2 linked regions of the Sus scrofa genome follow. The protein of the gene in region 2 purifies or fractionates together with the protein of the main gene of each other region. This does not show direct contact. Links are inferred from orthologs where the notes say so. Each region holds a gene or a part of one and is shown on either strand. Other genes may lie near its edges.

The links.
Region 1: the proteins of GXYLT1 (region 2) and CANX purify together in Homo sapiens (affinity purification with mass spectrometry; 3 studies listed by BioGRID and IntAct, counting the BioPlex papers as one, with this or other methods). This does not show direct contact. The link is inferred for Sus scrofa from reciprocal best matches to the Homo sapiens genes GXYLT1 and CANX.

What each region holds. Positions count from the first base shown.
Region 1 is NC_010444.4:78,913,379-78,917,290, reverse strand, and holds the start of CANX (calnexin), read left to right. Parts: upstream 1-1,466; 5' UTR 1,467-1,645; intron 1,646-3,912. UniProt on the Homo sapiens protein: Calcium-binding protein that interacts with newly synthesized monoglucosylated glycoproteins in the endoplasmic reticulum. It may act in assisting protein assembly and/or in the retention within the ER of unassembled protein subunits.
Region 2 is NC_010447.5:73,405,362-73,409,191, forward strand, and holds the start of GXYLT1 (glucoside xylosyltransferase 1), read right to left. Parts: upstream 2,999-3,830; 5' UTR 2,868-2,998; coding exon 2,647-2,867; intron 1-2,646. UniProt on the Homo sapiens protein: Glycosyltransferase which elongates the O-linked glucose attached to EGF-like repeats in the extracellular domain of Notch proteins by catalyzing the addition of xylose.

The sequences.
Region 1 (3,912 bases), on a different chromosome or scaffold from region 2:
TTTTTTTGTTTTTGTTTTTTTTAGGCCCACATATGTGGCATATGGAAGTTCCCAGGCTAGGGGTTGAATCAGAGCTGCAGCTGCTGGCCTACACCACCGCCACAGCAACATGGGATTGCAGATGTGATAAATTCATTTGAGTAATAAGAAAAATGAAAAAAACAAAAACAACAACAACAAAAAAACCCATGGGATTGCAGCCACATTTGTGACCTACGCCTAAGCTTAGGATGGATCCTTAACCCACTGAGCAAGGCCAGGGATTGAATCCGCATCCTCACAGACACTATGTTAGGTTCTTAATTCACTAAGCCACAATAGTAACTCCTGGAGGATCTTATTCATGAAATCCGTACTGTTGGAAAATGCTTCAAAGAAGCAAACAACATCCTGTGGCCCTTCAAACTATCTTCTCCTGAAGGGCCCAGATAAATAGATCTAACAGGCTTATTAAATGGATGAACTGAGTTGTCTATGTGATTATTTTTGTAATCTGGGTCAGTAAATAAAGTGACTTCAAATTGTGAAAAAAACAAACACAAAATTCATTCTTCAGAGATTTGGCCTCAGCTTCCTTTTAAGAACATTGTGCTTTAACGGAAAAAAAATCTCTAACAAGATCCTTAGTAGGATCTACAGTCCTGCTCTGTCTCAGGCCCAGAAAACTGAAGATGTGCTAAAAGTTAGTTACAAAATCTGTGGTGTGTTTGAAAATTTTCCATTGCACCATCTTTTTCTCACTCACTGCTGTTAAGTGTGATTGTGCCCTTTTTGTCTTATCTTGCTTTTGGAAACATCACAAATTGAAAGTTGAAGTAACGCTGGATTATAGTATTCTGGGCTATATTTTGACGTTGGGTGATAAGGCGGCCTCAGACTGCTGGGCCCAGAGCAATGACTCTGCAGGAACGGTGGCGCCTGGTGTACAGCGACTCCAGGACAGGCCAAGGGAGCCGTGACTGATTCCATCATATCTGCGCACTCGCTGCACTGGAAACCAGGTCCTTCCCGATGGCTCAATGGACCTCCCACCCATCCTGCCAGCTTCCATTTGCTCTCTCATCGAAGGGAATGAGATGCCAGACCCCGAGGCCCGGGTCCAGGCACCTGAACGGTCGAAACCATAGAAATTAGGATGCAGTGCCGGGCAGCGCGCCCACTAAGGCACCAGAACAACCAGCGCGGGAACGCCTGCCTGGCCAGTCCCGCCCCACGACGCGCGCGCGCGCGCGCGCGCCCCCGCCGATCCCGATGCCGCCGTACACCGCCTCCTTCCATACTGCCCAACCAACAGCCACTTCCTGCCTCACTCCTAACCAATCCCCACACTCCACGAAGAATAGCCCTAGGGGGCGTATGGGAAGGTGCATAGAGCGATGGCCACAATAACCAATTGAATTCAGGATCTTGCGCGAGAGGGCGGGACTTGGCGCTGGTGGTAGCTACTGAGGAGACAGGGGCGGACGCAGGGCCGGGCTTCGTGCGGTGGGGCTCGCTCGCGCGGCGGCTGCAGGAGTCGAGGCCTCTTGGTTCTGCGGCACGTGACGGTCAGGCTCCCTCAGCCGCTGTCTCCACTGCAGCGTGGGGCCAGGTGTGCGGGCGGGAGGAGGCGCGGGCACCACCGGCGGTCCTCCTGAGGCTTGAGGTGAGACAGGGGCCTGCCCGTGTCTTCGGGCCTGTGAGGACCCTCGGGGGCCTGGGTGCGCGGCCTGGCGGCGGAGGTCTCGAGAAGCCGGGCGTGGCCGGGGCTGAGGGGTCCGGCTGAGTTTCGATGGCTCAGGCCCTGGTGGACCCGCCAGACGGGATGGGTTAGGCCTGAACCTGGGCCGCTTGAGTTGCGGAGCCAGGCCCAGGCCGCGCCGCCGGGGTTGGGAGGCGTGGCAGGTGTCCTAGAGCCTTTCTTGACCTCTGGGAAAGCTAACTTCTCTTCATGGTTCTGCTTCTAGGGCTTTCTTATACCTATTGCTGACTGCCTGGGAAGCTGTGAGGTGGGGTAGAGTAACCGGGTAAAGGTCTGGAATAGGATCGGGCCTTGTTGGTACTCTTAGTAGTGGGGAAAGGTGATAATAGGACAGAGAGAGGATATTTAGAATTAGCATTACAGATCTAAAATTTGAAAATTAAAACCGCAAAGTGAAGACTGGACTGTAGCAGCCTGAAGAGTATGGAGAATGTGCTAGAACACGCACTGGTTAAAAAACTTAAGTCCTAACATTTACATCTATTTGGAGATTGGGGGAGTAAGTAATCTCGTCGTAAATTCAGTGGGCTTTTAAAAGCAGGAAAGCACCCAAAAGCTCTCCGTGGGCAGGTCGTTTTATAGTGAAGGAAACTGAGGCCCAGAGCTCAGAAATGATCGGCCCAAGGTCATGCGATTAGTTTTATGATCACGTTGGAATTACAGTTGAAAGCTAGGCAGTTTGTGTGTAGTGGTTAAGACTAAGGCCCTTGTTCAGGTCCTTCATCAGCCATTTGTTGCTATGTGAACCTGGGCAGTTCACTTCGTTTCAGATAATGGATGTAATACCTGATAGAGTTGTTGTTACCATTAAGACGTGTGTAAGAAAGAGCAGGAAAGTTAGATGTACATTTTTAACTGCTTGATAAATGACTGCAGTAAATTATTATGGTGAATGCTGTTGATCCACTACACTAACATCCTAATTAGCTAAGTCCTATTTTCCAGGACCTGAAGTCACATTTATGGAAATAGGAGGAAGAAACTGGACCTAGTGGTTTGACTGCTGATTGAGGGAAGTTAAACTGAGCTGGATATTAATTAAAAGCTTGGGAGGAGAAAGGTGAACCACAGTTAGGTCTCTTTACCTCTAATTTAAGAAATAGAACCTTTTACTTAATTTCTTAATGGGTAGAATGGTGTGGGGAGGTTTTCGTTCTGTTTTGTTTTGTTTTAAGAGGGGAACCCCGTTGATCTTCAAGACTGTTGTGTACCTCACTCTTTTTTCAGTACTGTTGAAGGGTCACTGCTGAGTTGTATATTTGCTGTAGTTAGAGCAGAGGTAAAGCACTGTGTGGGAGTCCTCCTGTGCACCAGTCTGTGTGCACAAGCAAACAAGCCAGGAAACTGGATCATGAGGTGGCTACAGTGAGCTGTGTATTGGAGTAAATGTGTTGCACCGCAGATTTTCTGACCTATCCGATAATGGGTGTCAGCATCCCTTCCTACTTGACTATCTCTCCTTAACAGTTTCAGCTAACACATTATCTTCCAAAGAGTAAACGTTTTGACAGAAGTTGTTGCTGCAGTTTTGGCAATCCTGCTATTGCATCCTTTCAGTTACAGAGTTCACTTTGCCCTGAGAGATAGCTTAAGGGAACGAAGCGACAGTTGGTAAGCATAAATGCAGACTCAAGAGACTTGAATTCCAGGCCCAGCATGGTAACTAGCTTATGAGCTAAGTTGGTTTCTATGTCTTTAAAATTGGAGTGAGGAATCCTCTGACTACCTACCTTACCATTAGGGGGCTTTTTAGGAGGGACAAGTAAGATGGTGAACATGAAACTACTTTGTTTTTTTTTTGTTTGTTTTGTTTTTTGTCTTTTTGCTATTTCTTTGGGCCACTCCCTCGGCATATGGAGGTTCCCAGGCTAGGGGTCTAATCAGAGCTGTAGCCACTGGCCTACGCCAGAGCCACAGCAATGCGGGGCAACGCGGGATCTGAGCCGCGTCTGCAACCTACACCACAGCTCACGGCAACGCCGGATCGTTAACCCACTGAGCAAGGCCAGGGACCGAACCCGCAACCTCATGGTTCCTAGTCGGATTCATTAACCACTGCGCCACGACGGGAACTCCCATGAAACTACTTTGAATGGAATAATGAACTGAACTGTGCAAAGAAGAGCTGGCAGCTCATAACAACTCCTAGAAAATAATAAAAGTGCCTGAAC
Region 2 (3,830 bases):
AAATATAATCCACATTTAACAGATGAGAAAAGTGAAACAGAAAAGCAGTCAAGGTTTCACAGCAAACAGAGCCATAATGAGACCACGTGTTTGTCTGACTCTAAGATCTACCCATTTTCTGAATACCAAAATAAGGGATTCAGACAAAATGAACTAATTAATTATAAATTTCACTGAAAAGTTGTTCCCATCATTTCTGTGTTTTTACTTTGAGAACTTGGAAGGACATTTCTAAGTATTTTGTTGTTTCTCTTAAGATTTGACCAACGGAACCTACTGGGTATAATCCTAATCCCACGTTTAAATGAGAGAAATAATAGTTTTAATCTTTGAGGTAAGACTGCTTCCAAAAAAAGTAAGAATGCAGGAGTTCCCCTCGTGGCGCAGTGGTTAACGAATCTGACTAGGAACCATGAGGTTGTGGGTTCGATCCCTGCCCTTGCTCAGTGGGTTAAGGATCTGGCGTTGCCATGAGCTGTGGTATAGGTCGCAGACTCATCTCAGATCCCGTGTTGCTGTGGCTGTGGTGTAGGCTGGTGGCTACAGCTCCAACTAGACTCCTAGCCTGGGACCCTCCATATGCCACAGGTGCGGCCCTAGAAAAGGCAAAATGACAAAAAAAAAAAAAAGAATGCAATGATAATCGAGTCCTACAAAAAAAGGAAGATGTTGCTTGTCTCATAGTCCCATTTTCTACTGATGAAACACTATCTAGACTAGGTTCTTATCCCTGCAGCTTTAGAGGAAGAGCACCTGCAGAGCAATCAAAGGATACATGGTTTTAACCTGGTCCAGTTATGATGCCCTCTGCACCTTGGTCAATGATTTACACACAGGAAAAGAGGCTAAGAATACCTACTCCATCCATACCCCATGGTGGCCAAAAAAGTTGACTAAACTCTATGAGAAATCTAAAAAGAGGTTAAAAATGATAATATCTAAAATGAAAAGAGTCCTGATGTCTTAGGAATTCTGCCGACTTCAATGAATTCATAGGGTAAAAACATGACAGTTCAGCCTTTCCAGGTTGCTCCTCTGCCCAAACTTCTCCTTATACATGCATATATTTTGTAAAGAATGATACACCTTCAATTTTAGCTTAAATGCTGGCCTCATTTAAAACGAGGAGTTATGCTGCTCAGAAGAAAAACAGCTTTCTGGCTGACTGGACTCTGAGACATCAAACTTAAGATTCCAGAAATGGCGCTACAAAATATTTATTAAAACTGAGGTGTTTATTTCCTGAATTTTAAATAATGCAACTTTGTTAAAATTAGCTGGCCAGGCACATATAGCTTATAAAAATTAGTCACAAAATAATATATAAGTATCTAAGGCAGGCACTAAAAGTGAATGTTACCCTATCAAGTCGAAATGAGTCCAATTTCACTCAATGTTTTGATTAAAATGTTGCTTCCTTATAATTCTACCCAATGCAAAAATAGTTCCTTCCCCATAACTTTAAATGCTTCACTCCAGCGTAATAGACCATGACCAGCTTTTCATGAGTTTATCCAGATCTTCAGTTATTGCCTCTCCCAGGACAGATAACTGAGCGTTCACAAACCTGGCTCTGGAAGTAGTTCTGCTTTTATGAACAAAGTCCTGACTGTAATCAAACCCCTGGGTGAAATCATGACAATCCAGCTTTTCCATGGGCTCTGCTCCTCTGTTCAAACGTCCCCTTTCATTTTGGGAATGACCATCAACTCTCAGAAGAATGTTAAACAGCCTACAGCTGACCTGCACTCCTCCAACCAACCCGATACTCTCCAATATCAAAGCAGCTTTTGCCTCTTGTTAAGGGAGCTCTCCCGAGTAAGAGAGGCGCCTCTTTTTCAAGGAAGTGGAAACGCTCAGATTTGGTTAAGCATTCGTAATGCGCTGCATTCTTTTTTTCGCTTAAATCTCACGTTGATTTCAACGCTGGCAGTGATTTGCGTAAATCCACTTAAGTCACTATGCTGCTTTTTAAACTCCGATTCTTAAAGAAAGCCACCTCTATCCCAACTCACAAAGGACGTGAGCTTAAGTATCGCTTATTTTTCTTAACTCGCTATAAGTTTCACAATAGACCGATTGTTTCCTAAAGAAAAATTCACAATCCTTATAAAATGCTCTGTCCAGATTTAACTAACCGGCTAATGAAAAATGTAAGCGTTAACAAGAAAATGAGACGTCCCATTCAGGAGGGGGTGGAAACTGAACTAGGGAGTCAGCCCGATGTTTAAATATCTCAACTTGAACGCCATGGAAACAAGAGGGAATTCCCACTAGCCAAACAGCAAGAGGCTTTTGTAGGACCCTCTAATTTTCAATGACTCCTAAGAAGGTGGGGGGGAGATGCAACTATCATTTAAAAGTTGAAAATTAATTTCTAACTGCTTTGAATAGTGCATAACCAATGGGTAAGAAGACAAACACAAAAAGCGTGGGTGCTTTCAGGCTGGAGTAGCGCCAGGCTCACCCCCAGGGTGAGGGGAAGGAGGGAAACGAGCAAAGGGGGTCAGAGTCGGCAGCAAAGAAGCGGGAGACGCGGGCCCGGTGGCGGGAGGCGCGGGACGGCCCCTCGTGCAGCCCCGGCCAAATCGAGACCCGCGACTCGGCGCCCCTCGCCCCAGCCCCCCGACAGGGAACCGCTCGTACCTGTCCGACCGGCCGGGATGCGCCGCCTGGCCCGCGCTGCCCGCCCCTCTTGCGGCGCCGCGCCCGCCGCCCCCGAGCCAGGAAGCCGCTGCGGCCTGCGGCTTCCCGCCACCGCCGCCCGCACCTTCCTCCAGGGACACGGCGAGCTGGCTGAAGGCGTAGAGGAGCGAGCAGAAGCCGCAGGCCAGGCACAGTACCACGAGGCGCAGGTAGCGCCGCATCCCGTCGGGCCCGCGCCGCCACCTCCGCCGTCGCCGCCGCGCCCGCTCGGGCGAACTGGAGCGGAGGGAGCAGCACCGCGCAGCCGCGGGCGCAACAGTTCCTCCTCCGCTGCGGCCTCGCGCCCTCCCCCTTCCTTCTTCCCTCCCCGCCCACCACCTTAGCGAGCGCGCTAACACCCCGCCCCGGAGCCCCGATACTGCCTCCGCCCCGGGCCCCTCCCCAGAGGGCGGGCGGCCAGACGCGCCGGCGCACTGAAAGCGGAGGGCTGGGGGCGCCGGGTGGCTTGGGGCGCGAGGGTTGCGGCTCGCGCAGGGTCCCGGGGTAGTGCAACCCTCCCGGCGGGCGAGTCCGCGGAACCTTGCGGCTCCCAACTGTGGAGGAGAGGTGCAGCGAAACTAGCAGAGCGTTGGAAGCAGCTGACCCAAATTCTAATTATGGTTCTTCCACATGGTAGCTTGGGATGTTGAGCAACCTCAATTTTCCGAGCATGTTTGATCGTCTCTAAAATGGAGAGGATATCCTCATCTTAGGGTGGTTTTAAAGATTAAAGTGCTTAACGCATGATAAACACCTTGGACTGAGAAGGCTCGTCATTAAGTTTTTTGTTTTTTTGGTCTTTTGGGGGCTATGCCTACGTCATTTGGAGGTTCCCAGGCTAGGGGGTCCAATCGGAGGTACTGCTGCCGGCCCGCGCCGCAGCCACAGCAACGCTGGATCCGAGCCGCCTCTGCAACCTGCACCACAGCTCAGGGCATCACTGGATCCTCAGCCCACTGAGTGATGCCAGGGATCGTACACGCGTCCTCAGGGATGCTAGTTGGGTTCCCTAACCGCTGAGCCACGATGCGAACTCTGCATTAAGCCATTTTTTAAGCTCCATCCTCCACAAGCGTTGTCACCCAACATCTAATTACGTCATGATGTTGAGGATGCGTATCCTGCCACCCATCCATGAGGTCCTC